Lytechinus pictus: one gene and its partners. The protein of the gene in region 2 purifies or fractionates together with the protein of the main gene of each other region. This does not show direct contact. Links are inferred from orthologs where the notes say so. Each region holds a gene or a part of one and is shown on either strand. Other genes may lie near its edges. The genes, in order: prefoldin subunit 3-like, uncharacterized protein LOC129254733, prefoldin subunit 1-like and prefoldin subunit 4-like.

Evidence for each region.
Region 1: the proteins of uncharacterized protein LOC129254733 (region 2) and prefoldin subunit 3-like purify together in Homo sapiens (affinity purification with mass spectrometry; 3 studies listed by BioGRID and IntAct, with this or other methods). This does not show direct contact. The link is inferred for Lytechinus pictus from reciprocal best matches to the Homo sapiens genes MAPK7 and VBP1.
Region 3: the proteins of uncharacterized protein LOC129254733 (region 2) and prefoldin subunit 1-like purify together in Homo sapiens (affinity purification with mass spectrometry; 3 studies listed by BioGRID and IntAct, with this or other methods). This does not show direct contact. The link is inferred for Lytechinus pictus from reciprocal best matches to the Homo sapiens genes MAPK7 and PFDN1.
Region 4: the proteins of uncharacterized protein LOC129254733 (region 2) and prefoldin subunit 4-like purify together in Homo sapiens (affinity purification with mass spectrometry; 3 studies listed by BioGRID and IntAct, with this or other methods). This does not show direct contact. The link is inferred for Lytechinus pictus from reciprocal best matches to the Homo sapiens genes MAPK7 and PFDN4.

Annotation. Positions count from the first base shown.
Region 1 is NC_087248.1:15,691,777-15,699,419, forward strand, and holds the start of prefoldin subunit 3-like, read left to right. Parts: upstream 1-4,643; 5' UTR 4,644-4,955; coding exon 4,956-5,062; intron 5,063-5,501; coding exon 5,502-5,568; intron 5,569-5,951; coding exon 5,952-6,050; intron 6,051-6,948; coding exon 6,949-7,087; intron 7,088-7,643. UniProt on the Homo sapiens protein: Binds specifically to cytosolic chaperonin (c-CPN) and transfers target proteins to it. Binds to nascent polypeptide chain and promotes folding in an environment in which there are many competing pathways for nonnative proteins.
Region 2 is NC_087246.1:15,313,993-15,321,165, reverse strand, and holds the start of uncharacterized protein LOC129254733, read right to left. Parts: upstream 3,010-7,173; 5' UTR 2,845-3,009; exon of another isoform or gene 2,827-2,844; intron 926-2,826; 5' UTR 872-925; coding exon 763-871; intron 1-762. Other genes in the region: coiled-coil domain-containing protein 86-like, read left to right, coding at 6,072-6,147. UniProt on the Homo sapiens protein: Plays a role in various cellular processes such as proliferation, differentiation and cell survival. The upstream activator of MAPK7 is the MAPK kinase MAP2K5.
Region 3 is NC_087262.1:23,590,510-23,597,609, forward strand, and holds the start of prefoldin subunit 1-like, read right to left. Parts: upstream 3,011-7,100; 5' UTR 2,964-3,010; coding exon 2,937-2,963; intron 713-2,936; coding exon 546-712; intron 1-545. UniProt on the Homo sapiens protein: Binds specifically to cytosolic chaperonin (c-CPN) and transfers target proteins to it. Binds to nascent polypeptide chain and promotes folding in an environment in which there are many competing pathways for nonnative proteins.
Region 4 is NC_087246.1:50,539,367-50,546,335, forward strand, and holds the start of prefoldin subunit 4-like, read right to left. Parts: upstream 3,023-6,969; 5' UTR 2,563-3,022; coding exon 2,530-2,562; exon of another isoform or gene 2,397-2,529; intron 506-2,396; coding exon 401-505; intron 1-400. UniProt on the Homo sapiens protein: Binds specifically to cytosolic chaperonin (c-CPN) and transfers target proteins to it. Binds to nascent polypeptide chain and promotes folding in an environment in which there are many competing pathways for nonnative proteins.

The DNA of each region.
Region 1 (7,643 bases), on a different chromosome or scaffold from region 2:
GCAAGCCCCTCTTCGATCAGACCAGAATGTATATTTCTCTCTTTTCTTTCTTTTTTTGCTCCTCCTTCGCGCTCGCAGAAATTTTATTAAAATACGCATATTGTTCAAGTTCACAAACATTGCCCAGAATGTTCAATTTTGAGGATAAAAAACATGAAATTTCAAAGATATTTTAGCTCGCGCTTCTCACTCGCACTATAGGGGCTATAAGATTATTATATATTGTGTTTTGTGTATGCTGTTTAATGAGAATAAAGAAGTGACTGTTAGGACTACCCCTATTAACTTTGAGCAGAGCAAATATTTTTCGGCCCCTTCCCCGGTTTATTTCTAATTTGTTTAATTGCCAACTCGTCTACTATCGTTTGGTCCATCAGTTCGTCAACTCACCACATAGTCTTTTTTTCATTTAGTATAATGCCATTTCGTCTAATGACCAGTGGACCCAAAAGCCATTTGGTCCATATACCATTTCATCTAATTGGACTATAAATGTTATGAAAATAAAATGGCTATTAGACCAACCGGTTATGTGACTAAATGGTCATAGACGAGATGGTTATTAGAAGAAGTGATGATTGGACCAAATGGTTAATGGACCAATGGCTGTTAGACGAAATGTTGATGGACAGATTGGCATTAGACTTAATGAAAATAGACCATGTAGTGAGTGGACGAGTTTGCCGTAGACGAATTGGCACCCCCCCCCCTATTGGCGATAACGCCCATGCACTACTACTTCTTTCTTATCTCATCCTTTTCATGATATATAAAACATGAATAGAGTGTCCCATTTTTAGGTCTAAATCTCGATTTTTTTTTCCGCTCGCTCTTCGCGCTCGCATTAATTGTTTTATAGCGACGATCCTGTTCATGGTTACAATTGATTTAAATTTTCCATTCTTTATGTAGAAGTGTCCCCCCAAAAAAATCGGCTCGCGCTTGCATGATTTTATTGTTGAAATATGTAACGTCTCCCCATGGCTAAGTGAAATAAGCAGTCCTTAACAGGTACCTTTTTGATCAGTTGAAAACGTAAACAAAAATCTTATGCTCGCGCTTTAACAAAGATCGGAAATTTGATATCCTTTCCATGCATGATTTAAAATACATGAATAGACATGTCTTGTTTTTAGGTCTAAATCTTCCAATTTTGTGCTCGCACTTCGCATCAATTGCTAAGTTATATACCTATCCTGTTTAAGTTACAAAAAGTGCCTATTATTTCAATTCTGCTCGCGCTTCGCGTTCTTAGTAATTATTTAGTTGCATACACATCTTTTTCATGATAAACATTGCCCAGAAATTTCAAACTTTGGGGAAAAAACACATATTTTTTAATGATAAATTAGCTCGCGCTTTGCGCTCGCATTATATAAAAAAGAGTTATGATATTATATATTTATGTTGATTTATAAGACAAAAGCTAAGAAGTGACATTTTATTCAAAGAAACAAACATAAATCATCTTTGCGCGGCCGATTGGGGAAAAATATGGGTGAAAGAAACCCCCCCCCCTTGGCGAAAGCTGGATCCACCCTTCATCCTATTTATTTCTCTCCTTCCATCCATCTCTCCATTCTTCCAGGAACCGAGGAATAGTTTTGAAAGTGGGGTTAAACATGAAAAATTGATTTTTTTTTTTTTTTTTTTTTTTTTTTGTATTTTTACCAATAAAATCATTAATGAAAATAATTCGGTACAAAAATCTATGTAATTCTTCTTCCTGTTTTAAACTACTTGAAAAAAAAAAACTGGGAGGGGGGGGGGGTTGGCCATACCGCCACTGCTAGTAATATGATTATACCATCCGTCACTATAAAGATGCTTTGAAGAAAAAATGTTCAAATTTTTGAGATAATCATGAGGATTGCCCGAAAAGAAATCTTTTAAAGAGGGGTTGCTGGCTTTGAAAAAAAAGCCAAAAGAAAGAGATTATCTCTCTAAAGATAAGTTGATTTTGGTCGAATATCATACTAAACTGATTTCCAGGGGGTGCTGCCTCTGGTGCAGGGGCGGCGATCCAGGGGATAGGCGCGGGCTCAATGCCCCACTTCTAAAAGCACTAAAAAGTGCCCCTTTTCTGTTCCCCCAACTTCGCTCCACTCCCCCTGCCGTACGTGTACAAAAAACGCACCACCAGCCCAAAAAAAATAAATCTTGGGGGTAACAACCCGAGCACCCCACTTCTCAGGGCCATATACAAGGATTCTAATTTATTAATTTTAAAGAAAGCATGAGACATCATATGTTGAAAAAAAATTAAAGAGACCTATTAATGACTGCATGTGGTCCCACCGTTACGCTAGATCTGCGCACAAAATTGCTTTTATATGACACGCAAAAGGGATAGATCTTAGTGGAAAAGTGGGATAAAGCAAACAAGTTTTAGAGACTGCCTTTATTGGCGTTCAATAATATGGGTGATATGATACAAATTCTGCTAGTTTATTCGTACTATTATTTCTGGCCATTGTACTTAGATCTATATTTTATTGTGGAAACATAAAAAAAAAATTATGATACAAATCGAGCGAGGCAAGTACAATGATATGGGGCAGAGTTCCAAGTCTTCATGCCCCAGACTGAATATATTTTGACATCAACTTTCTCTAAAAACAAGTGTTATGTTTTATTTTGTATTATTCATTTTTAAGTATAAGGTTAAATTATAAGTCTCGGAGTGTCAGTTAATGCTGCAAAAGATGTATAAGGCCTACTCTTTTGCAGCACTATCCAGCTACCGCGGCGAGGACGCCCTCCGAGAAGGTAGCCATATCAAAACTAAAAACAAAAAATTCCCCTTAGATTACTGGTGGATCCAAGGGGCATAATTATCGAGAGCCAAAATTGTAATTTGTAACATTAGCATGCCCTTTTTACCCAAGCATGCCCCCTTGAAAGTGAGGATATATATATATATATATATAGGCCCAATTTTTTTGCTTGTAAATTTTTAGGGACGAAATGACTTTGAATTTTTTGTAAAAACATTTTGTAATGCTTATCAAATTTGCATCGGGAAAATATGCCCTCCATAGGCCCCCCACCAAAAAAAAAGTTTATCAACCCAAATTTTAGGGGAGACCACTTGAAATTTTTAGGGGGGGGGGGTCCACTGGAATTTAGGGGGCACGCAGGAAAAAAAATTGTCAAGCAAAAAAAAAGGTTATCAACAAAAAAATTAGGGGGGGGGGCGATTGTCCCCCCACCTCAAATTTAGGGGGGACACGACCCCCCCCCCCCCCCCCCCCGCTGCCTATGGGGGGACGTTGTTACCCTTTTTTTGCTAATTTTTTTTTCGGTCCCCCCCCTTTGATAACCTTTTTTTGTCAAAGATTTTGGTGCCCCCCTAAATTTTTTGACTGCCGCCGCTAATAGTGCCCCCCCCCCTTTGGAAAATCCTGGACCCTCCCTTGCCTAGATATAGATGTTTAAAGAATTAATTATTTTGAAAGTCAGAGTGCCCCCGCCCCCCATGCTTTAGTTATCATGGCATAAAACTTGTCATATCTAATCCTTATATCAGCAAGAGGTCACAGCATACTATCCGTCACCAAACGACTGCATTTGAGCCATTTATTTTCTCTTTTCTCTTCTTTCTATTTTTTGTTGTTATTTAATCATTGTTTATTTGGATAAGCTCGGATCCGAGACTAACTGGGACGGTGAACGCACTTTCGTTCGAGTTGTGTATTTACGTAACAATACGCCGAGGCGAGAAAGGACACGCCCACAATCCCTCGTTCAGTGCCGAGCTCTGTGAATATGTGTCGACGAAATTTCAAAATTAAATTTGTACACAAATCTGTCACAATTCGGACCAACTTTAGCCTCAGATTAACAGATATTTAGATCTCTTTGGAACACTAAAAGTCATTCACTTGGGGTTTTTGAATACATGTATGCTGATTCAGGTGAGGTACTTTTCAATGCTTTTAAACATAGATTAAAAAAAATAGATTTTCGTTTTGGGATCCCTACTGCAGGAGTGCAGGCCTGGAAATTGGAATTGGAAAACTAACTGATAACTCATTTCCTGTGCCGACAGATTTTAATATTTGTCTGAACTTGAAAAAAATATGATAAGATCAGAATCATTCCTCATTTACAACATGTTTTTAAAAATCGGCAAATGTTTTAAAAATCAAACTTTGGGAATTGAAAGAAAGAAGAATGTGCTGATGATGATGGCAGTGACCAGCACAATCTTATTCTTGGGCTTGGCTTTTTTAAAAGTTATATCTTGTGGACATGGAAAGCAGTTGCACAATAGAGTACCGAAGCCATGACATCAGTTGCCATGGTGTCATGGCGGCTTGGTTCTAAACAAATGAACCCGGAATGAAAGCATGTGTTTTTACACAGGAGAAAATGGCTGCTATCAGAATGATCGCTTGCACCCTATTTTTCAGATGAGCCAAGATGTGTACAGACGACCATCTGCTGCGACTCTGTTTAGAACCAGCCCGCCATTGCACCATGGCAAGTGGCAACTGACGTCACACCTTGGTACTCTATGTCAATGGGCTGATAACTTGCTCAGCGAGACAAACAAAACACTTTAGTTTCAGTTGTCTGTCTGGCAATCTGCCCTTGCCACTATTTCACAGCACAATGTTGCTGTGCCCTGATCTTTGGCTCATTACTATTCAAGACAATTAAGCCTGCAAGGTTTTAAAAATGGTCTTAGAAAACTTTGTTCATCCCACATTTTATAGATCTTGAGCTATTGCAGAGGTCTCCGGATTTTAAAATTTAGTAATTTCTTTGCTGCATGCTAATAAAATCTGAAGAAAGATAGAGTTTGAGACTTGAGAAAGTACAAAAAAATGAATAAGACCCTAGAAAACAAATAAAGATAAGATGAAAATAAAAAATTAAGACGTTGAGAAAATACGAATTGTTTTCCTCCATATTTTCAATTTGATTTACAGGAAGATGTAGACAGTTTTATGCAGAAACCCCAGAATGAGTCTGCTGAGATTGTGTTGAAGAGATTAGAAGAACAGCATCAGAAGTATAAATTCATGGAAATGAATTTATTGCAGAAAAAGAGAAGGTGCGTTTGTCTCTTATTTTCTGTACATACAGTGGTATAATTAATAATCCCATATTTTAATTGTTGGCTTGTTGATGAATTTTTCATTACCATAGATTTCAGGAGTCCATTGACCTTTTTTTTTAATGGCTGCATATATGAAATTTATGAATGACAAGTAGATGTATGAAGCCACCTGAAATCACGATAATAATTGAGAAAAAAGAAAGAAACGTATTTATGCAAAAGTATTGACTGATTTCTGACACCCACTTTAAATTTCTTTATTTTCGATTGGTTGCATAAAAGTGATTAAAAGAATAGAACTTCTCTGGTTGCTCAAGAAGCCATCTTGAGTGAATCTATACTTAAATTCCAAGGAATATGGTATTGAATGATTAATTTTTAATTTCTTTTTCTTGAATAAGATATTTTAATCATTTACTATCTCTGATCACAGATTAAAGGGCCAGATTCCTGATATTAGAACAACTTTAGACATTGTCAAACATTTACAAAGTAAACAGGTAAATATAACCTTCATTAATTTCAATTACCATATAAAACAAATTTCTTTTAAACAAAAAAGAAACTCTTGTACATTACATGATGTATACATTATATAGCACTTTTTTTTTACTTTGTATTAAAAGAAATCCTTTTTGAAAGATGAAGAGCATGCATGATCGATGTTATGTATTCAGTGTTTAGCATCAAACTTGTTTTCATTGTTTTTTTTATCTAACTTATTTAAAGAATTTTCATTATTTAATGTTACACGCTCTCTTTAAAATGTTATGTTACTTGTAACAAATTATTCTGTAATAATTCTGCAGTTGATTGATGTAAATATATTTCATATCTCAGTTATGCTGCCACGAAATTGTTCCATTTCATTTTGTCCTCCTAGGGTTCTGAAGATGAGTTAAAGACACAGTTTCTTTTATCAGACCAAGTATATGCCAAGGCTACTATTCTTCCTACCAAGAAAGTTTGTCTGTGGCTAGGGGTAAGTCAGGGTTCACCACCAGTATCAGTTTGTAGTTCAATAGGGTGTTTTTTCAAAGATTTAAGTTTTTACTCAAAAGCAAACTGTATTTCCCACTTGCATGCGGTGTATAACACATGCATCAGTGCATTGGTCATATCATGTTCAGTTGCAGTCACGCAATACCTTGTAGTCATCAATGAGGTTATGTGTTGAATACCGAGTACGCATAGGCATTTAAGCATGATAAAACAGATTTAATTTATATCTAACTCATTGTGAAATACTCTAGGAGGAATATGAATTTATTCATTTAAGAGCTTATGTTATTTTTCAATTTTGATTGCAAACCAACTAGTGAAGCTTTAGGATGAGTGGAGAGGCCTGGTAGAAACGCCTGTAGCAACATCTTGCTGTGCATCACATCAGAGGGAAAGACCCTCGACTCCAAATCTTTGCTTGTTGCTGCAGTGCAAAAAATGTCTCTACTCCATTGGCGAATGCTTCTTGGCAAGCCTTAGAGAGTTTCTGCAATGTGACGGGGAAAAGAAATGAGTGATGTAACATTTTTGCTAAGGGGTTTCCACTCTGATCAAATGTTCTCTGTAATTTTTCCTGTAACCATGAATAGCAAGAATGACCCAAGTTTGACTACACTTGTCTTTGCAAATGTAGTCTCTTGCAATGGGGACAGCACTTAACAGAAGAATAAGTGAACTTTTTACATAACTTAGTCTCCCCAAAAGCAACTTATATGCTGTCCTGGAGAGGATTGTACTGTGTCAGGTGTTGCTGGTGCTCAAGGTAATGTGGTGATCTTGTAGTGATTTTCTTGGGGCGCTCTTAACAGTGCAATGTACTAAAGACCTAAATTGGTATAATCTGCATACGTGTGCATGCCCCTCCTTCTCTCCTTCAGGCTAATGTGATGCTGGAGTACGAACTGTCCGATGCCGAGGCTCTCCTCTCCAAGAACCTGAAAGCAGCAACAGAGAGCCAGACTCAGGTTGACAAGGACCTGGACTTCCTCAGGGACCAGTACACCACCACTGAAGTCAGTATCCTTTACCACAGCAGAGCCTTTTCAAGATTAGCCAACAATTTTTGTCTCACCTGCATAGCAGTGTGAGACTAGGCGCCGCTTTTCCGACGGCGGCGGCGTCAACATCAAATCTTAACCTAAGGTTAAGTTTTTGAAATGACAGCATAACTTAGAAAGTATATGGACCTAGCTCATGAAACTTGGCCATAAGGTTAATCAAGTATTACTGAACATCCTGCCTGAGATTCATGTCACATAACCAAGGTCGAAGGTCATTTAGGATCAATGAACTTAGACCATGTTAGGGGAATCAACATCAAAATCTTAACCTAAGGTTAAGTTTTTGAAATGTCCTCATAACTTAGAAAATGTATGGACCTAGTTCATGAAACTTGGACATAAGGGTAATCAAGTATCACTGAATATCCTGCATGAGTTTCACGTCACATGACCAAGGTCAAAGGTCATTTAGGGTCAATGAACTTTGGCCGAATTGGGGGTATCTGTTGAATTACCATCATAACTTTGAAAGTTTATGGATCTGATTCATGAAACTTGGACATAAGAGTAAT
Region 2 (7,173 bases):
CACTATGAAAACCGTTCTGCGGCCCCTGGTATTCAATGGTAGTTCATTTCAATACTTATTCCAACTAATAAATACATTCCACAATTAAAGGGGAATCCAGCCTTGGCCATAAAATGTTGTGTTGGGAAGGAGAAAAATAAATTAAACAGAATGGTGAAAATTTGAAAGAAATCGGACAAGCAATAAGAAAGTTATAGCTGCTTTAAAATTGGGATCACTAATAGTATGTAGATTTCAAATTGGCAACTGGGTAAGTAAATTATGACAAGGGGCAAGGACAACTTTCCCATAGGCCATGTACTTTATTATCAGGGTTTTGTGGTTTTCTCCTAAGTATCCATTCCCCTGGGGCAGTAATCTAAATATAACCCAGGTAGTATATTGTTTAATGTCCTCATGAAAGAAAAATGTAATTTGAAATAAGACTTTTCGGAAAAATGACATTTTAGCCATAATATGTAGTGGAGTACATGGAAGAGTAGTCCTTGCCTTACATCACTATGACATCCCGTATGTAGCCAATTTGAAGTCTCCATGAGTATAGTGATTATCAATATTTACAACTTTTAAAAATTCATAACTTTCTTGTTGTTTGTCCAATAAGGTTCAAACTTTCACATATCAACTTGTCTAATTTATCTTTTTCTTATAAAAACAAGTTTTTAATTGGGTTGGATTCCCCTTTAATTTTGTCAAGACAAAGTCAAATAATAACAATTTCAAAACTAATTTTACACATGAAAGTAATGCTTGTTTGTATACCTGTTCCTATCTTCTCAAGAGGCTTATAATTTGAGTTTCCTATGTCAAACTTGACATCCATGCATCTGCCCTTAAAGGCAAGAAGACTCCGTGATGCAGCTTGTTGCATTGTGTCAGTTTACTTATACTCGATCCAAGTTCAAATCGAAGGCATCATTGAGATCTACAGGTAACAAAAAAGCAGATAAAATTATTCATCGTTAATATAATTATGTAAAACATGAAAAATGTAACTTTGTCAGCAGCCTCTGGCATTATATCACTAATTGTGTGCATTGTTTGTAAGGAGTGAATGCCAAGGCTATGCAATTCAATGCACAAGGCACTTCTGAGTTCAGACTAAAATACAAGTAGGCCATTACCTGTTACAATTTTAATTTGAATATTGTACTGTAGGTGGTTTAATAACAAGCATGCCTCAGAACATGAACGTAGGTCTATGAATTATTGTGAGTGCTACACTTCCACCCAAGATTAGATGTGGAAGACAGCAAAAAGCATTGGCAATTTGGAAATCGATATTTTTGCATTTATGACTGACAAATTTTTCAAATGACCAACCATGATAATAGATTACAAATTCTCCAGACATAGACATGTCAATATAATTTGGAGTTGTTGTAAAAGCAATGGCAAGCAAAAATAACCTAGCAAAAACATGAAAGGGCAAGTTGTTAAAAGGCTATTGCAGGGTGAAAGTTTTTTAAAACAGTGCAAAAATAAGGTTAAAAAAACCCCTAAAAATTGCATAAAAATTTGATGAGATTGAGAATAATCAAAAAATTTAATGTAAAAGTTTAGCAATACTTCAGTAAACAGTATATACATTTCTTCATGAAAATGCAATGAGTTGATGATGTTATCTCTTCAATCATTCTGGGTAACTTTATCAGAGGAAATTATGTTTATTCAAATTCCATCCTCCATGAATGTAACTAGCACAACAATGATGTGGATCTTGCAGCAAAATTCAGCCCAGTTGACATTGAAGTGAATTATAATGGTCACATAAATTGAGGACACAGAATTGATATTAATGAATAAATGACAGAAAAGCATTTTTTTTTATTTATGAATAAATTTTGTATAAATCAGCATTAATAATTTTCTCGTCAAAATTTATAAATTCTGTGTAGAACCTTGGTGGACCTAATGAGGCTCTCAGAATTGTCAGATGGAAAAAAAAATCAAAATCATTCAACAAATAAATAAGCATATTTTGTGAGTTATGAAAAATATGCATAAAATAGCATATTTAATGAGTTTCAAAATTCTGTGTAGAAATTTAGTATCCCCCACCTACTGACCTAGAGCTATCATATAATACTTTTAATACCAACTTTATTACGATCTTGGCTCTAGTCTTGCCTTCAATTCAACAGCTAATTTGAATAGCACATGGTTTTTGTTAGTGAATAATTTTTACTCTTTTATGAGCCTCCTGGCTAACCACACAGTAGACCAAAAGCTTCAGTCTCTGTATTTTGGTTGTTCCGCTGAACTGCGTTGGCTCACTCACCATACATGGGGATTACAGTAAAATGTCAGAAATTGTTGAATAAATCCCCAGAAACGACGGTTATTCCTGTCTAACCACACAGGGAGTACTAACAACAGAGAATAGGGATACATCATTCATAACCTTCAACCTTGTATATTGAATAAATGCAATTAGGGCAAGCCAATGCCCCGGGCCCAGCGCACCCAAGGACATTGTCATTACATGCCGCCGCGCACAGAAAATTCAAGCCATAGAAGTCGTGTGTTGTGGACCTAAGAAGTGAGATCCCAGCACGCGCGACCCACTAGTTAGAAATCCACTGCCAAACGCGGTTCGTGGTGCGAGGTTAGTATACTAATACTAACCTCGCAATACGTGTGAGTGGGCCCAGCGCGCAAATGGGAAGATTTTACTTCAGTCCTAACAAACATCAGATGGTACATGCGGGACCGATATGAACATGATAAATAATTTTGCAAAGAAAACAGAACCTTCCAAGGCCGACAATAACAAATACGATTAAAACGTATCCAAAATAGATTTCACAGTAGTAATAAACTTACAAGAGTCAAGAATTTTACCTGAGATGCCGTAAATTTGACTAAAATCCTTTGTAATTTGGGTAGAGAAGGCAGTGTATTCGCTTGGGCGTTTACTCCTGTATAAATACATCTCGTAATCTAAAAATAGAACTGCGATAACTCTTGGCCAATGAACAACGAGCGAGGGCGACGAATTTTTAATGACAAAAAAGGAGTTGCGAAACTAAATTCAAAACAACTCCACCCATTCCTGATCCGCCTTCATAAAATGTATGTACTCCAGTGAGGAAATAAGTAAATAAATGCTTATATAAATCACATTGATCAAGAGAGGTAGACCCCTTATGCTTTTCTTAAAACAGAATACCAGACACGGGCCAGTAACATTATAGACCGTACCGTAGGTACCGGTATGTATTTTTGTCATTTTTGTAAGCAAGATTTTTTTACTTTTCATACCAACCGAATGCACAAAAATAACTTTAAACAAAAAACATTGATTTTCATCCCCGGTTTTCACCATCATTTTACATTAACATCACAATTTAAAGGCGTTTGTGATCATTCACTTTTTTTTTTTAATAATGGAAAATGTGTCCGCGGTATATCATAACATGAATTTCAGGGCTGCAAATAATCAGCCGTCGAAGCATATTCAATTAATTTTGTTCATGGCCAACATTTAAGCATGCATCATATCATAACATGAATTTCAGGGCTGCAAATAATCAGCCGTCGAAGCATATTCAATTAATTTTGTTCATGGCCAACATTTAAGCATGCATTTAAAGGGATTCTCCGGGCTGAAAACATTGGTATCTAAATGAATAGAGTATAACATTCACAGAGCAAATTAAAGGCTGAACATTTCATCAAAATTGGATAACAAATAACAAAGTTTTTAGATTTTAAAGTTAAGCAATTTTGTGATAATAGTTACGCACGTCATCATGAATATCCATTAGTTAGGTGATGATGCCACATATATCCACTTTCATATTTCAGTGTTAATTTTTTTTCACACATGTGTGAACAATGTGTCTCCTTTTAAATGAAATAATTTATTAAATCAGTTGTCAATCCAATTTTTTCAGTTCTTGGTAGAAAAACTTTGAATAGACCTAATTTAATATAATACATGTAAAATACAAAAGAACAAGTGGGGATATGACATCATAAATTTGCTCATTGAATATTCATAAAGACATGCCTAGAATATTTGTTTCACCGGAATAATGCAAATCTTTAAAATACAATTGCTTTGTTATTCCTTGTCTGATTTTGATCAAATTTTCAGTGTTTTTTTTGTCTGATTTATCTGTTCAAATCTTATTATTTTCAGCCCGGAGCATCACTTTGAGCAGCCCCCCTCCCCATCGTGCGGCAAGAGCAGCCAACCAATAGACTATATCCTTAGTTAAAGTTTTTTTTCGAGAAGAAATGTTTTCCTCGATATCAGTAACACGGACAACTAGTGGCGTCGTATCTAGGGCAAATGGCACTCGGGGGAAGTGCTAAAATCGCGCCCATTTAAAGTATATATATATATATATATATATTAATAATTGTCAACAATTAATGAAGAGGATTTGTATCTCCAATATCAAATCAGAGAGTGATTAAAAACTTTGACAATTAAACGAGAAAAAAATGTATTTCAGAACTATTTGTATTAGAATTAATGGATACATATCAAAATGCAATCCAGTAGCTAGAGATGAAAAGTTACGATATTTGCGTTTGAAAAGGAAATATTTTAAGGACTGTTCTTTGGAAATCCTGACGAGGATGAATAAGTACATATACTTATAAAAAGTTGGAATTCCACGTGTTCGGGGAGGAATGAAACTTCGTTTCACATGACAATGACGAGAAAATCAAAATATTTCATATTTCATATAACAAAATACAATGGAAATAGTGAGTGGGTGATGTCATCGGTCCCCTCATTTGCATACCGAACAGAATGTGCATAAAACTGTTTTGTGAAATTAACGTAGAGTTTTTCCTGTCCAGACAAAACTGTTTGTACAACCTATCTTTTTTTAAAATTGATCATAACAAATTTTCAGTAATCCAAGGTTTTTTAAAATTTTCTTTCTACGAAATTGATTTTTGACTACAAAATTAGATTCACCTTGACAAGAACATTAAATTTTATTTGAAAAAGTATTGTAGTTTACTACATGATCATCGTTTATGAGCATATCATTCCTAAGTTTAGTAGTAGACAAATCGTGTTTCAAATTTTAAATAATTACAGCATCAATACGCTGGCATGGATTATGATTAATAATTATGATTTTGTTCAACATAGCTTCCATACCAAGGTTCAAAGCCAATTGAAAGATTGGAAAATGATCAGTTAAATCTGTATAGAAAATACCTGAGATAGTATTGTTAGAATGAACATTCGTTAGTATATATAACATGATATAATATAATCAATCAGAGAAACAGTAGAATTAATAATGCATGTTGGCTTATCTATCAGAGGCTGCAATGAATTATTACAAATTATATTGACAAAGTCATCAACGTGTCATTCAGGAAATGAAATCCCCCATCAAGTAAATATTCTTCTTTTCCTTGAGCAACTCCTGAAGGCACTCATTTATCGATTGAGTAAAGTCTGTGATAGAAGTTTTAGGATCTCTGTATACAATTGAGCCCATGTCACGTCAAACCATAGAGCTATAGCTCTATGGTCAAACCATGAAGCGACGATTATAAACGTTAATTTTGATTAGTCACCCATCCACCTATTAGTCCTACAAAATTTCATAAAATCTTCGCCCAAAAAATAACTCAACCTATAAAAAATACAGAATAGTAAATAATGCGCGTGAAACCTGATTGTTCGTGGAAAGGGTAATTAAGGTTGGTTGGATGGTTATTGTTTATTTTACAAATTTCTATTTAATGTCAGTTTTTTTTGCTTTTGTTTAAAAATACATATTTTCAAAAAAATATAAGATATAAAAATATATTTGTTTTTGAAATATTTCACGGTTTCACGGTTGGTATGTTGAAAAGCTCCAGCTGGAACATCACTCAATATGTATGTATCATAGAGATATCTCTATGGTATGTATAATCATGATAATATAAAGTTCGAGACGTAGATGGCGCTGCATCAATTCATATTTTTGTGATATATGTTAATTGCGTAATACAACTCACACGTGTAAATCGTATTGTGGCTTTTTTCTAAAGAAATAATTTGACTCATGATTGATTTATTAGTGGAATAGGAGTACGTCACCATGCCTGTTGGAACCAGAAGCAGTTCTAGACGAGGAGCTGGAGAAGTGGGACTAGGAGACCAAACAGAGTCTTTGGGTAAGTGATCTTTCAGTCACTAGACAGTAGCCTAGGCCCTAGTGTAGGCTGTAGCAGCGCAGCTCGGCTGCCTGGCCCTTGTCATGATTGTGCAAGATGAGCTGTGCGACTGTGCCTGCGCTGCCCCGCGCTTCGTCCATTCATGCATGGTATGGTGATGACAGCTGGCACTGGCAGCCGTCTGTTTCAGGGGTTTTTTTAAACATTTTTTTTATATTTCTCCTCGTACTCAGACGGCTCGCTATCATACAGCCACCATAGGGGGTATAACAATGCAAAATCCCCCCGACGTGGCTCATCGATTTTTGTCTTTTTTTTGGCAGAAAAGAGAAAACCGCATGCATCTTCATCATGACTTTATAAGTTTATGATATAAATTCTAACGTTATAACTTATATTGACTATATTTAATTATGAAATAGAATAGAAGTTAGTAATAATTTTAGTTAGGTTTAGTTTGGTTCTATTTTTGGTGTTTCCACTTTAATTTTTATTTTAGAAATTTTTGTAAAAAAAATCTGATATAGGCCTAAATCAAATAAATTCGATTTTTTAAATAAAAAAATTGAATAAAAAATATTGCCAACCCTGGTTTTAATTCATTTTTGTCTCACCTGCATAGCAGAGTGAGACTAGACTATAGGCGCTGTTTTTCGGCGGCGGCGTCAACATCAAATCTTAACCGAAGGTTTAGTTTTTGAAATGACAGTATATAATAAGTATTACTGAATATCCTGCCTGAGTTTCAGGTCACATGACCAAGGTCAAAGGTCATTTAGGGTCAATGAACTTTGAACAAGTTGGGGGTATTTGTTGAATTACCATCATAACTAAATTTAGATTTAAGTCTGTTACGCTTAGGAGGTATTCTTTGCAGTGATGCAAATTTTGATTTGCACTGAATGTTGACCAGGGTGAATTCTCCTTTTAAGGCATGGCAATTCCATTTTAAATTACATCTTCAGTAAAAATACTGTAAAACACCTCATGTGTTCCCATAAGAAAGTCTATTTAAAAAAAGAGATT
Region 3 (7,100 bases), on a different chromosome or scaffold from region 2:
AATTAATTGGGCCACAACTTCTTAATGCTATAAAGGATTATTATACATGTACGTACATTGGCTTACACTGGCTAAAATGTCCAGGGTCCCACAACACAAAGGTTAACCGATTGACCGTACGCCTGATTTATACGACTGATTTTACAAAGTAGTGAATGCAATCAATCGAAAAGATATTCTTATACAATGATTGCTAAGCTTTGTGTTACAGGTGCAACGTGTGAAAACCCTTTATAGTAAAACGTACCAAATCCTTAAATGTGATACTTGATGGAATAGCTGAGGTGCAGTTTAATGGAAAACAGAGACTTTAATAATGTACATTCTTCCTACTCCTTCAAAGACCCTAGTTTCCCTAGGAAGGCCAGCAAGCTATGTGGCTGCTCCTGGGTCATCCTAGTAATAGTCTAGTTCCCTCAACATATATTTTATGGGACGTACAGTAAGTGACTTTTATGCTTTTGCCTAAGTAAAAAGGCACCCATGTAAAAGATACTGGAGATAAAAGCAGCAGTGGCATTTCACTCAAAAGAATAGAGACTTACATCCTTCCTACTCCTTCAAAGACCCTAGTTTCTCCAGGAAGAGCAGCCAGTTCTGCAGCAGTCAGTCTGCAATGCTGCTGTTTTCTCTTCAGTTGTTCAACTTGCATGTCAGCTATCTTAAGCTGCTGCGTCGTCTCGATCATACGGATCTGCTGCTCCTGGAATGCCTGAGCAAAAGTAAGCAAAGAAATTTACTGTTGTAAATGTTGAGGATCTCTAATGCAGAAATACTGTGAGATACAGTATGAAAATGGCATGCAAGGAGAAATTTCTGTTGAGTCGTGAGTTACATGTAAATGAGTCAGCAGCAAAATTCATCTATTCGGAAGGGTGTCACATTTCCCGCCTTAGAGAACCCCCGCAGCGGCCATTGCAGATTTTTTGCGATAGATTCAACATGTGCGATCTCAGTGGCGATATTTCTGGCGGAAATCACTTCCCCCTTACAAATTTTTTTGGGTCATTGATCTTTTGGAGTCCATAATTAGCGAGGGTCATAAGAATCTTTGGAAGTCAAAATCATGGATTTTACCCCGGGAATATTTTCTTTTATCAGCAACTTGGATCTACTGTGTGTGCAGTTCAATAGCAGGTATGTTCATGTATCTTATGCATGTAAGTCCCCTGCCAGTGCGGGTCCCTGTAGTTATGGGGAGGGAGTTAAAGTCATTTTCGTCCGATACTTGGAACCGTCCGATGTTTGGGGACTTTACTCAAGATAAAAATAATGAACTGACTGTAACCGATGTCTCGCTATGCAGTCCTATACGCAGTCTCAAGGCTACATGATGTATCTGTATAAATTTGTAAAAATATTAAAATCATCAGAGTCCTCAAGGCTAATTCTAGACATTTTCTCGACTGAAAACTTGGTATTAGATCTAGACTCTACTCATAAGGCCAAGTAAAAAAAAGAAAGTAGTTGATCGTCCTCGCGCGCATCTATTTTGGCCGCCGCATGAAATTTTTCACTATTTACTATTTTCTACAAAAAAGTGATGTTTCTCGTCCGCGCCCGCTTCCGTTTTTGATTGCCGCATCAATTTGCTTGATATTTACTATTTTTATGGCCGCTGAAAAGCGAAAAAAATTTACAAGATTGGCGAGCATTTTGCTCTCATGTGCTCTGGGATCACTCACGCAACTTCATAAAGTCCGATATTGCCGTAATTGTGAGAAAGAAAAAAATAATGATTTGGTTTTTTATTGGTAGTACTATTTTCATACCTTTTTATCTCTTTTTTTCATATTTCCTTATTTTTTATATATTCAAGACATTATTTAGTTAGTTTCTAAATCCTTAGACTGTAAATTCAATTTTTTTAAAAATATTGAAGTCTGGACAGTACTAGCATGACTAGTCGGCGAGTTGGTGGACGTGATAACACATGCGAGCTCACACTAACGAACTACCGTCGGTGAATAGTGATATGTCAGAAATTGTTAAGGAAATCCCCAGAAACGACGGTTATTCCCGTCTACTTTTGGCTTTGCTTTGGCTTGTCTTTGCTTTGCCTTTAGTTGGAAAAACAGCTACAAAACAAAACTGCAAATGGCATGATGAATCATTGACAGTAGAGGTGCTGGTCCAAAAATTGGGATTGTCCCAGAAAACAAGGATATCCTCATAAACCAAGACAAATCATGTCTTGATAAATTGAGACTGTCCTTGTTTAAGAGGATGTTTTTTTCACTTCCCCCTGCGGGACAAAGACAGCAATTACGGAAATTGAGAGTGCTAAAAATAGATTCAGTGACCTCAATTCCCCCCCAGTTCACCGTCTATTTTTCATGACTTGTTGTCTTCCAATAATCTTGTTAATATATGAAACCTGATAAGTTTACATTGACTAGCGCACTTGATTGGTGTCGGCACTTGACAGGTGAATGGACTTTCCTAGATTTCTTGTGTGGAGAAATCCTTGAAAACTGAGACAGTTCGTGTAATTGTAAACTGGGACAATCTCAATTTGCTGACCAGCGCCTAGGCTCTACTGATTGAATGGCACGTCCATTTAGTTTTATCAATAAGATTTAGTACATTAAATGGCTACAAACTACACTCCCTCTCACTCTGATGGCTATGTTGTGTAATTTCTCGTTTCACTTTCACTGTTCAGTTCATTTCATCCACTGTTCGGAGATCGCATCGCATCACCAGTTCGCTGTTGCCCGGGAGTTCTCCGCAGATGAAGCCCAACGACTCGCTGACAAGACAGGCGCTGCAGCTGAACCTCGGCCTCTGCATCGAGCAATCACTTGCCAATGAATTTTGGTAACTTTTGTACACTTTCGCGTACTTAAATCACCCCCATTTGAAAAAAAATATAATCATAAAATCATCACAGATTTTTTATCAGACTGATTTGGATAAAAAGTGGATTTATTTACCTTTTTCAACTCAAGATCGACAGCCATGATTGCAATTTGTACTCTTCTACAGCCAATTCCTGTTCAATTACGACCGAGAGAGGGCTAAAGCCGCATTTTAAAATCATGCCACATAAACGAATATGGGAACAAGATAAAAGCAAACCTTTCCTGACAAATTTATCCTACAAAGTTGAAAAAAATCTCCCCATCTTGAAAAGGCAAAAATACATTCTAATTCAAGCTAGTCCTAAATTCTTGGCATACTATTTAGGCCTATCATGATCATGTTACATTTTGAAAGAAAAAAATTTGCCAATAATAATGCTAGATTTCAAGAGGGTTCTATCTCATGCTAAAAAGCTATAGGTATAATCATGATAGATGTGGCGAGGGGCTGCGCCACAAGGAGGGAGGGGCGGCTGTCCACCCCCCCCCCCCCAGGACCAACATCCAATAAATATTATAGATTATGATTAAAACAGATTAAAAGATAATTAGTATACCACTAACTGTTACCAAATTACATCAAATACAAATATTCGAAGCTCCTCCATGTAAATATACATATATATATATGAGAGTCTACATTTCATCAATGCCCTTTACATTGGTATTTATAGACATATAACAATGCTTCTGTGCTGGCATGAGCAATAGTTAGTACAAATGCTAATTGATTTGTAACTAATTAAGTTCATTCCAACTGGAAGTCCCAATTGGATCCAGTTAAAACCAATTGGTTTCAACTGGAACCAGTTGCCTCCAATTGGTTTCAACTGGAACCAATTGAAACCAGTTGCCTCCAATTGGATTCAACTGGTTTTAATAGGGAAATTGGAACAACTGGAACCAACCGAGATGCAGTTGCCTAATTGGTTTCAACTGGAACCAATTGGCAACTGGTTTCAATTGGAACCAGTTGTTCCAATTTCCCTATTAAAACCAGTTGGCCAACTGGTTTCAATTGGTTTTGCTCTAATTGGTTTCAACTGGATTTTGGTCCTGGCCCCCCCCCCCCTCCCTTTCCACTCTGATTTTTTCCTTGTAGTGTAAATAAATTCATGGGGGGGAGGAGAAACGTAGGCAGAAAGGGGGAAGGAAAGCCAAGAGGTTGCATTACCGTTGCCAATTCGTCTACTGCCAACTCGTCAACTCACATTTAGTCTAATGCCATTCCATCCATCATCAACATTTCGTCTAACAACCATTTGGTCTAATCACTACGTCTATTATAATCCCCGTTTCGTCTATGGCCATTTTGTCTCATAACCATGTTGGTCTAATATCCATTTAATTTTCATTCATTTTGCACAATTAAACACTTAGTCAAATTAGACCATATGGTAAATAGACTAAATGGCTATTGGACCACCTGGTAATTAGACGGAATGGCATATAGACTAAATAAAAATAGACACGTGGTGAGTGGACGAACTGATGGTAGACCAAAATAATGATAGTTAACGAGTTGGCAATTGGACGAATTGCCATTAGACGAATGTGAAATAAACCATCACCATTAGGTCGTTTGCCCCCCCCCCCCTCCCTCCCCGGACGCTATAAAGTTATATCCTGGTGCCGCATATGGATGTTGATGGAAACCTTTAGATTGGAAAGTTCATCATTATAAGGGACTTTTAGAGTATCATGGGAAAAAACTCCTGGAGTTAGGCCTAAGTAAATCATTCCAAACTATTGCACAGAACAGGGAACGAAAACAATCAGGTGGTCGTTTCATAAAGCTGTTTGTAAAGTTACGCACAACTTTACGATCGACTGGAGCATATCGGTGCTAAGTGAGCTACATAGGGATAGTGTGGCACAAGAAAGGTCATCAGTCGTGCGTAACTTTATGAAACACTCACCAGAACTGTCACTGTTACAAAATAAAGCTATTGCAAGAATTATTTTCAACAAGACTGGAGACATCTGTTCATAAGTATTGGACTTTCAAAAATTCAAAGGTTAATGGATTATTCTTGTTTTAGCAATATCAAACCAAATGTATGGGCGTCAATCCAAACTTGAGCATGGGGGGGACACAATAGCCACATGCAAGCATGTCACTTTTATGGGTATACTTTCCAGATCCATTACACTTTTGTCATACTCCACCGCTACGTGTACCGTATGTCACAGGGGATCCAGCCTTCGCCAATAGGGGGGGGGGCCGGAATTTTTTTTCACCCACATTTTCCCCGATCGGCCGCTCGAAGTTAATTTTTGTTTCTTTCTTTGAAGGGGTAATTTATTAACATATATAATATCATAAGCCTTATTTAAAAAGTGCGAGCTTTTTGTTTATTTTATGTATTTTGTTTTAAAATTCAAACATTTTGGGCAATGTTTATGATCCTAAACGAAATGTGTATCTAAGTAAATAATTGCTGCGAGCGCAAAGCGCGAGCAGAAATTTTTAATATACGTTTTAATGATAAAAAAAGGATCTGTTACCAGCAGCTTGTTAGCCATGAAGACGTTACATATTTCAACTATTAAATAATGCGAAGCGCGAGCTGAAAATTTTGACATTTTTACCTGAAGAATGAAAAAGGTTAAGTATATAGCTAAATAATTAATGCGAGCGCGAAGCGCGAGCTGAAAAATTCGAGATTCAAACATAAAAATTGGACACTCTATTCATATTTTGTAAATCATGAAAATGATGAGTAATTGGAAATCGGCTTCCTACATTAATAATGCGAGCGCAAAGCGCGAGTACAAATTGTTATATTTATTTTTGATATACGCTTTGATCTGATATGTTAACGGCTGCGTGTTAGCCAAGATGACGTTACATATTTTAACTACCAAATAATGCGAGCGCGAAGCGCGAGCTGGAAATTTTGACATTTCTACCTCAAGAATGGAAATTCTAAGCACTTTTGTAATCGTGAAAAGGATAAGTATAATAACTAAACAATTGATGCGAGCGCGAAGCGCGAGCGGAAAAATTCCGGACACTCTATTCATGATTTGTAAATCATGAAAATGAGTAATTGGAAATTTTCCCACATTAATAATGCGAGCGCAAAGCGCGAGCAGACAATTTTTTATATTATACATTTTGCCTCCGCCGAAGATTCTGCTAGGATCGAAAGCTTAGGCCCCTTTTGACTTTTTAATTTCTTATATTGTGATCTGAAACTGGATAATGATTTAAATAGAGAACAAGCTGCGTATCTAAATTATCGCGTGTTTCAGATTTCGACCTAGAACGTGTAGAATTAGGATAATTTGAATACATTTCTTATCATGAAAACCAATAAAGCGAGCGCAAAGCGCGAGCTAAAAATATATGATATTCCGCTCTGAAAAGGGTAAATTTAAGCTCTGTTTTTCAAGCACTTTGTGGGAAAATTGTGAGGTGGATATGGATCACAGTTAAAAAGAGCTGATAAGTTTCATTATTATTACTTTGAGTTTTGACATAGGACCGGGACATTATGTCATCATATGAAAATGATTACTATCTTCCTATTTCTCTTCCTAAGCATGAGAGCGCGAAATCTCTTAATATTATGGCCTGAAAACTGGACATTTAAAGCATTTTTGTAATTATGAATAAGATGCATGAGTTGATATATTTCAACAATCAATGCGAGCGGAAATCGCGAACCGAAATTTCTGATAAACTGCATGTGATCAAATGGGGATTTTAAGTAGTTTGTTTTAGAATTAATATTGAGATAAACATAACTCACCAATCAAAATGCGAGCATGCAGCGCTAGCTGATACGTTTTCACAATCTGACCTGAATAGGGATATTTTGATAACTTTATGGAACTTACAGGAAAATAATAGGTACCTGACAAATCAAATTTTGCGAGCGCGCAGCGCAAGCAGAAATGTTAATATTCAGACCATACAACTAAAAATTTTACAGAACACTTTTTAAAAATCAAATTTGCAAATCAAACAAAATAATGAAAGTTAAATTTTCGAGCTGAAATATGTTTTGTATATTGACTTCAAGATTTGATATTTAAGCTCCACATTGAGCAAGATATGTAAATCACCTAAAAGGCGATGCGAGCGCGAAGCGCGAGCAAAAATTATATATCCCAGCATGAAAGATTTTTTATTATTACTTTCCAAGTCTTCCCCTTATCTTATTCACTCGTCTTCCTCCTTTTATGTTTCCCTTTCTTTTTTTCTCCTCTCTTTTCCCTTCTTCTTCT
Region 4 (6,969 bases), about 35 Mb from region 2:
AGCCAGCTATTCTTAAAAGCTGCGTTATAAACTTATGAAAATTTATTATTCATAATAAGTACCACATAAAACCTTGTTCATGTATCAGTAAAGAGAAAATCCCTCTAGTAAGGACTCTAAGGAGGGGGTTTTAAAAAAAGTCTCCTCTTTTACAGACATAGTCTCATCAAAACAAATATCAACCAAAATAGATTAATTCAATTATTTTCCAGTCTAGTTTTTCATATACCCTGTTTGAAAAGCCGACTATAGATTTTGATATTTGAAGGGCAGGGTCATTTTTCATGTGCTTTCATGTAGCCTACACTTCTCATTTTGAAAAAAATATATTGGAAGATCCTTGGCTTAGGAAAATATTATTAAATTTGTTATACGTAGGTATCATGGTATCAAAATTTACCTTTTTATTTGCAATTTCATCCTGGATTTCTCCAAGTTTATTACTCTTCCTTGCAAACTTGTTGATCTTCTGCTGATCTTCAAATGTGACATTCACATCATCATCCTGAAAATAACAAGGAATTGAAATTTTGGTATAGAACAATCAGAGCAAATCAAGGTGGGAAAGTTGACAAGTCTGGCAAAAGTAAAGCAGAACCCAATCTCTAAAATTGAGCACATCCAGGCTTGAACCTTGGAAGAGTAATCCCTTTCAGCAGCTTCAAAGCTATCCCGGGATGAAAACATTATGTGTATCAGTGCAAGGTGCCATGGTGAGGTAATTTAAAATTTCACTTATATACATTAAAAGTGAGTGTACACCGTCCAAGTAAAAACTGACTCTTGGTTTACAGCATAAGAGACCCAACAGGAGGCTGCATCGTGCAGATGAATGGCAGTGCGGCCTCTCTAAATACAGCTGGGTTTGTTCCTATTACAACAGGTCCTGGTAGGTGATTCCAAATTTTGACAGTACGTGGGAAGAGAACTTGTATACATCAGTGGTTGCTTTCGGGATAGCATATTTAAGGATGTGATCTTGTCTTCCAATATATGTGGCAGGACAAATGGTAGGAGGAAAAGGTACAGCAACTAGGTGATGATGAATTATATGGAAGAGAGTACACTGAGCAAGAAGATGGCGTGTATAGAGACTATCCCATCCGAGTGCAGACACAAGGGCCAGGTTTGGCACGTTTTAGATGGTGTGTTTTAAAACATGTTTTAAAACACCCATTTTTTTTGCAAAAAAAAAGTGTTTTAAAACACCGCTTAGGCTTGTGTGTTGTAAATTTTGCATGGATGTGATTTTAGATTATTTTTTTTAATACTTTTATTTCTGAAGTGGTGTATTATTTTCTTCTAACTAATTAAAACACTTTTTCAACACCACTTTTTTTCTCCTCATTTTCTTTTCCCCTAATTATTCTCCCTTTTTGGGGAATGCATGCATGGGTATGCGACAAGTTTTTAAAAAACTTGCTCAAAAACGTGATTCATGTATAATAAAGCAAATTGTGAATTCTTGCCAAAATTCGTAAAGTTTCATTTTTTTGTACTTTTTGCTGATTGAAAAATTATTGCCTGTAATTTTAAAAAACTTAAAAAAACATTTTATACTGATTTTTTTCTTCTAATATAAGCATTTGATCAAAATTCTTCAATTAAAAAAATAAGCAGTTCAAGGCCTATATTTCTAGATTTAACTAAAATTGGCATAATTGATTCAAATGAAATAAAGCATATTGAAGCCCCATACACTGTAGATTCTGTCATTTTCTTCCATTGTGAAAATTCTTCTTGCCCCCCCCCCCCCTCCCCTAGATTGACAAGACTCAAAATACCCCAGGCCCAGGACTACATGTTCATGTATGAGGAATAAAACTATAAAATGGCAACTTACTTTAAAGTTTAGTGTTCTTTGTTTAGGCATTCAATTTCCATGAATTAGTAATTTTTTGGGGAAATATGAACTTTTCTGTTGGAAAGTCAGTAACAAAAATTGTAGTCATCTCTTACTTTACTTATTCCAAAAATGTATTTATTACATAAATCAGACTGTATAATAGTTTAAATGATTTACGGAAAATTGCATAATTTGTTTAAAAAAACGTTTTAAAACACTTTAAAATAATAACAAACATTATTGCAGCCGAATTAAAGTCACTGTTATTTCCCCTTTTAAGTTTATTTTTTCCCCGACGCGACGGTTTTGGTGCATTTCAGGCCAAAACAGAATAATAATCTTTTTTTTATTTTGGACAAGTTTTTTTTTAACATATTTTTATGAAATAAAGTCATAAAGACCCTATTGGCTATGGAGCCAAATGATTTCAGCGGAACAACCAACATAACAAAACAGAGACCGAAGCTTTTGGTCTAATCATAACCTTGTTCATTGATTCTTTGATTTGAATGAGTGCACCAGGGCAGTAGTAGGCAGTACCACATTTTATTTTTACAAACAAATTTGTAGATAAGTGGGACCGTCACAAAAATATTTTCTTCAATTCCACCACTAGCACAGTCCCCAACACAGATCAAATAAGATTTTCATCTAGACATACGTCAAGATAGATCTATACTTACACCACCTGTGGCTTTCTTCATTGACAATGCCATAGCTGTAATGACAAAATTAGAACTTTTAAAAGAAAAGTTTCTGGACGTGGGCCTGTCTTTCCAGCTTTCAAACTCTAACCAAGAGATGGCTCACTTCCAAATAAATATTGGGCGTGCGTCATCGCATCATGCATAGTCATTTTCTGAGACATATTTTGACCCGGGAGTTTCGGCGAAGCTCAATAATGATTTCCGCCAGCGGAATCTCGCGCTCGCAGCGTACATGTAGCATCGACCAAGAAAACTCAACGACGCCACCGCCTTACAAAATAGATAGAAATTGAAGTCAGGATTCTACACAGAATCAGAGAGAGGAATATAGTTTAATCACAGAGGGAAGTATTTTAATCTCGGGCGGCATTTATGTAAGTTCTATCTGTTTGTAGATTTTTTAAAATTCAATTTTTATGATCGATTCCGTTCGACATGCGCCATGCCATGCCATGCCCATGATCATCATGATCATGCATTCATGGACATGTCTAGACAGGAATAACCGTCGTTTCTGGGGATTTATTCAACAATTTCTGACATTTTACTGTAATCCCCATTTACCGACGGTAGGGTGTACGTGTGGGCTCGCATGTGTTCTCATTCCCTCCCTTTTGTCAATTCACAGTCCAAAGTTTGATGTATCATGTAATTTTACACATCGAATTTACAATCTAAGGATGTATAAACAACAAACTTTTAAAACTTGATGTTTTAACATTTAAATACTTTAAACGATATAGATGAGAAAGGCATGAAAAATATACTTTACCGATGTTTAATTGGGTTGAACACGATAAAAATGGTCAAAATGGCAGCCAAACTATAAAATATTTACAAACGAACGTCAACAACAGTAGAGGCGCTGGTCAGAAAATTGGGATCGTCCCAGTTTACAGGGACTGTCTCAGTTTATAAGGATTTCTTCACACAAGAAATCTAGGAAAGTTCATTCACCTGTCAAGTGCCGACACCAATCAAGTGTGCTAGTCAATGTAAACATATCGGGTTTCATAACAAGATTATTGGAAGACAGTAAGTCATGAAAAATAGACGGTGAACTGGGGGGAATTGAGGTCACTGAATCTATTTTTAGCACTCTCAATTCCCGTAATTGCTGTCTTTGTCCCGTAGGGGGAAGTGAAAAAAAAACGTCCCCATAAACAAGGACAGTCTCAATTTATCAAGACATGATTTGTCTTGGTTTATGAGGATATCCTCGTTTTCTGGGACAATCCCAATTTTTGGACCAGCGCCTCTACTGACAATCACGAATGTGATATCGATATTGCTCTCGATATTATACGATCTGCTCCATATGCGAACGAAACCGAAGATAAACGATACTAGTTATACTAGTACTAGTACTAGTTATAATCGCGATATATCGATTCGAGACATTAAGTTAATACGATAATGACGTCATTCAAGAAAAACTGTCAGGTCAGGTGAAAATGTCTTAGATGACAGATTTCTCAATCATCCAGAGGATTTTTTTCAATAACTCCGGCCCAAGGTATGCAATTACTTAAGTTATTTATATTTCCCTGATAATGGAAACCATGAAACTTTCAATTTTGCTTAAAAAACAGTTTTAAATCGCGATCTATAAAACGCTAGTTCACTATACATTGGCTGTAGGTACGGGGCCCCATCCCCTTCAGTCTATGTATGGTGAGTGGAGCCAACGTAGTTCAGCGGAACAACCAAAATACAGAGACTGAAGCTTTTGGTCTAGGACATGTCATACTTGTGACTTGTGTGTGTGTGTACCGGTATGAAGAATTTTGTTTGGATGAGTAGATTTCTAACTGTTAGTGTTAGACCTCTTTGACTTTGTGTGCAGCTGCAGAGCAGCAGAGGGTTACGACTAAAGTTAAGGAAGGTGATAATGATTGATATGGTAAGTTAATTTTTCCAGACATAATGTTCCCTGACTTCCCTCGAGTAGCAGCGACAGGAATACCTCGGGCGATGTTCGTGCAGGCTCCACTCCACTTCACTACCGCTACACTCTGCTCCACCTACCCGAACATCAGGACCGTGAACCATTTCGGATATACCGAGTCACAAAGGTGGGATGGCAATCATGATAATCGTAAAAATTAAACCCAAAAAATATAAAGAAAAAGATGATTGACTTGATAATATCTTACTCTACACCCGTATTTCACTCCGTTTCCATCCTCCGGTTATCCTCAAAATTGGTGCTTGATGCTATCTTTGATTTTTCTCTTTTTATTAAAAATCAAATCCACTTTTTGTTGGGGTGGACTTGCCTTTTGAATTAAAGGACTGTATTTTTTGTGCACAATTGTACCTGCTTCTTGCAGTTCTTCTTAAGGGGCTTTCACAATCGCTCTTGCGATCGTTTGCGATCATTTGGTCACAATATATGTTGCACACAATTGCAACGGTTGTAAGCAGAGTTGCACCACCAGTTGTGAAAGGGGCTCAAGTCGGACAACACTCTGACCCTAATTTCAATGTGATCTCATTCTGTGAGATGCAACTATATCTGACAGTTGTGTTTGTTTTCTTGTCCAAGGTTGTGATATTATAGACACTAGAACTTTTGACTATTTGTTTGTTTTCTCATTTGACTTTTTTACAGGATCTATTGTAAGATGGAACTTTAAATATTAGGCAGCATTAAAACTACTTAAAAACAGTTGAATTAAAAAAAAATCAGTAGAGAGTAGAGACAGTCAAAATGGCCATTTACCATAGGCATAACAACTTGCTAAAAACAGTCAAAGACCCCAACCAATTGAACATTGACTCAAACCCATTGAAATTATGATTTGAGAATGATGCTTATTTTATCTCTATTACCGTTCTGCAACATAACACAAGTTGCAAAACAAATAGATTTTAAATTATATTTTTGAAGGAAATTGAAACTGTTTGTAAAAAAAAGTCCAGTAAGAAAAAAAGAGCTATAATTTTCAAATATTAGTTCAGATTTGAAAATATTTTCCATGTTTACAATTATTATTGTCTCAAATTATTTTCTAGAATACGGTTTTACTTTGAGAGGCAAGAATATTAATAGAGGCCACAATATTAGAATTGCGGAAGAGGTTAACAGTACTCGATGTTAGTCTTAGATGGACAAAGAAAAGTGGATAGAGAGAAATGGAGAGGCATCTGGGACTCACCAAGTGATGTACCATTATAAACCTCTTCTGTAATTAACACTTTATGCAAGGCTCGACATTAGCGGTGGCCCGGGGCCACCAGAAATTCACCTCGGGCAACCATTATTGAAAAAATATTAAGTTTTGGTGGCCCGAATCGGGCAACCAATAATTTTCAGAATAGCGCAATTTTTCTCCCCATTTTGCACGCATTTATCAACTTTCTACAAACACACACAAAATTGGCCTACCGCTATAGCATTAAGTAGCTTTTATCCAGCCGGCCGCGCTGGCCGGCTGGCGTGAGCTTTGCATGCCTCAAGCAGCTGTGAGTCAGCAGCCTATATATTCAGACTCAGGGAGCTGCAATACGAAATGTTGCAGCTAAGAAATCTTCCACAGAACTGTGAAAATCCAAGTCAAAGTCACATTTTACACCAATGAAAAGCCCTTCTACAGACCTTTTTGCCAAAATCTGGTGTATCCTGATTATTTTCAAGCATTTAAAAGAGGAATCATGACCTCTCTTTTGACTCAAAAAGACCGATTTCCAAATGAAAATAATGCACATAAAAACACATAGGTGAGTACATCACAGTCCCACGTGTGCATTTGTATGTATGTTGATACTTTGTTTCTTTCGAAGCTGTGTCTTTTCTAGCCAAAAATAAACAGACAGTTACTTTCTTTCTTGTTTATAAATGACTTCTTAAACAACTCTTGAGAAAGTACATAATTTGGGAAGGCATTTCATTAATATGAAATGTGAATTTTTCCAACATTTTGGCAAATATAGGGAAGGAATTTTCTCACACTTTTTTTTGCCGTTTTATTATTTTCTTTCATTTTTTTGACAGTGGTTAAAAAACCATTTATACCCATTTATTAATTTTCAATGTTTTTCTTTATATTTTTTGGGCCACCAAACTTTAATATCAGGCCACCCAAAAAAATTATTTGAAGGTTTTGGTGGCCCGAACGGGCCACCACCAAAAAAAGTTAATGTGGAGCCTTGCTTTATGTTTTTGGTTTTGTTTGTCAAATTGACAGTTATATTATTTAAAGTTCAAAGCCACCCAGAAGAATGTTGATTTGAATAGATAGAGAAAAATCAAACAAGCATAACACTGAAAATATCATCAAAATCGGATGTAAAACAAGAAAGTTTTGACATTTTAAAATTTTCAGCATTATTGCTTGTCTGATTTTTCTCTATTGATTCAAATCAACATTTTCATGAGGTGGACTTGATCTTTAATGCGAATTGCTCAATGCT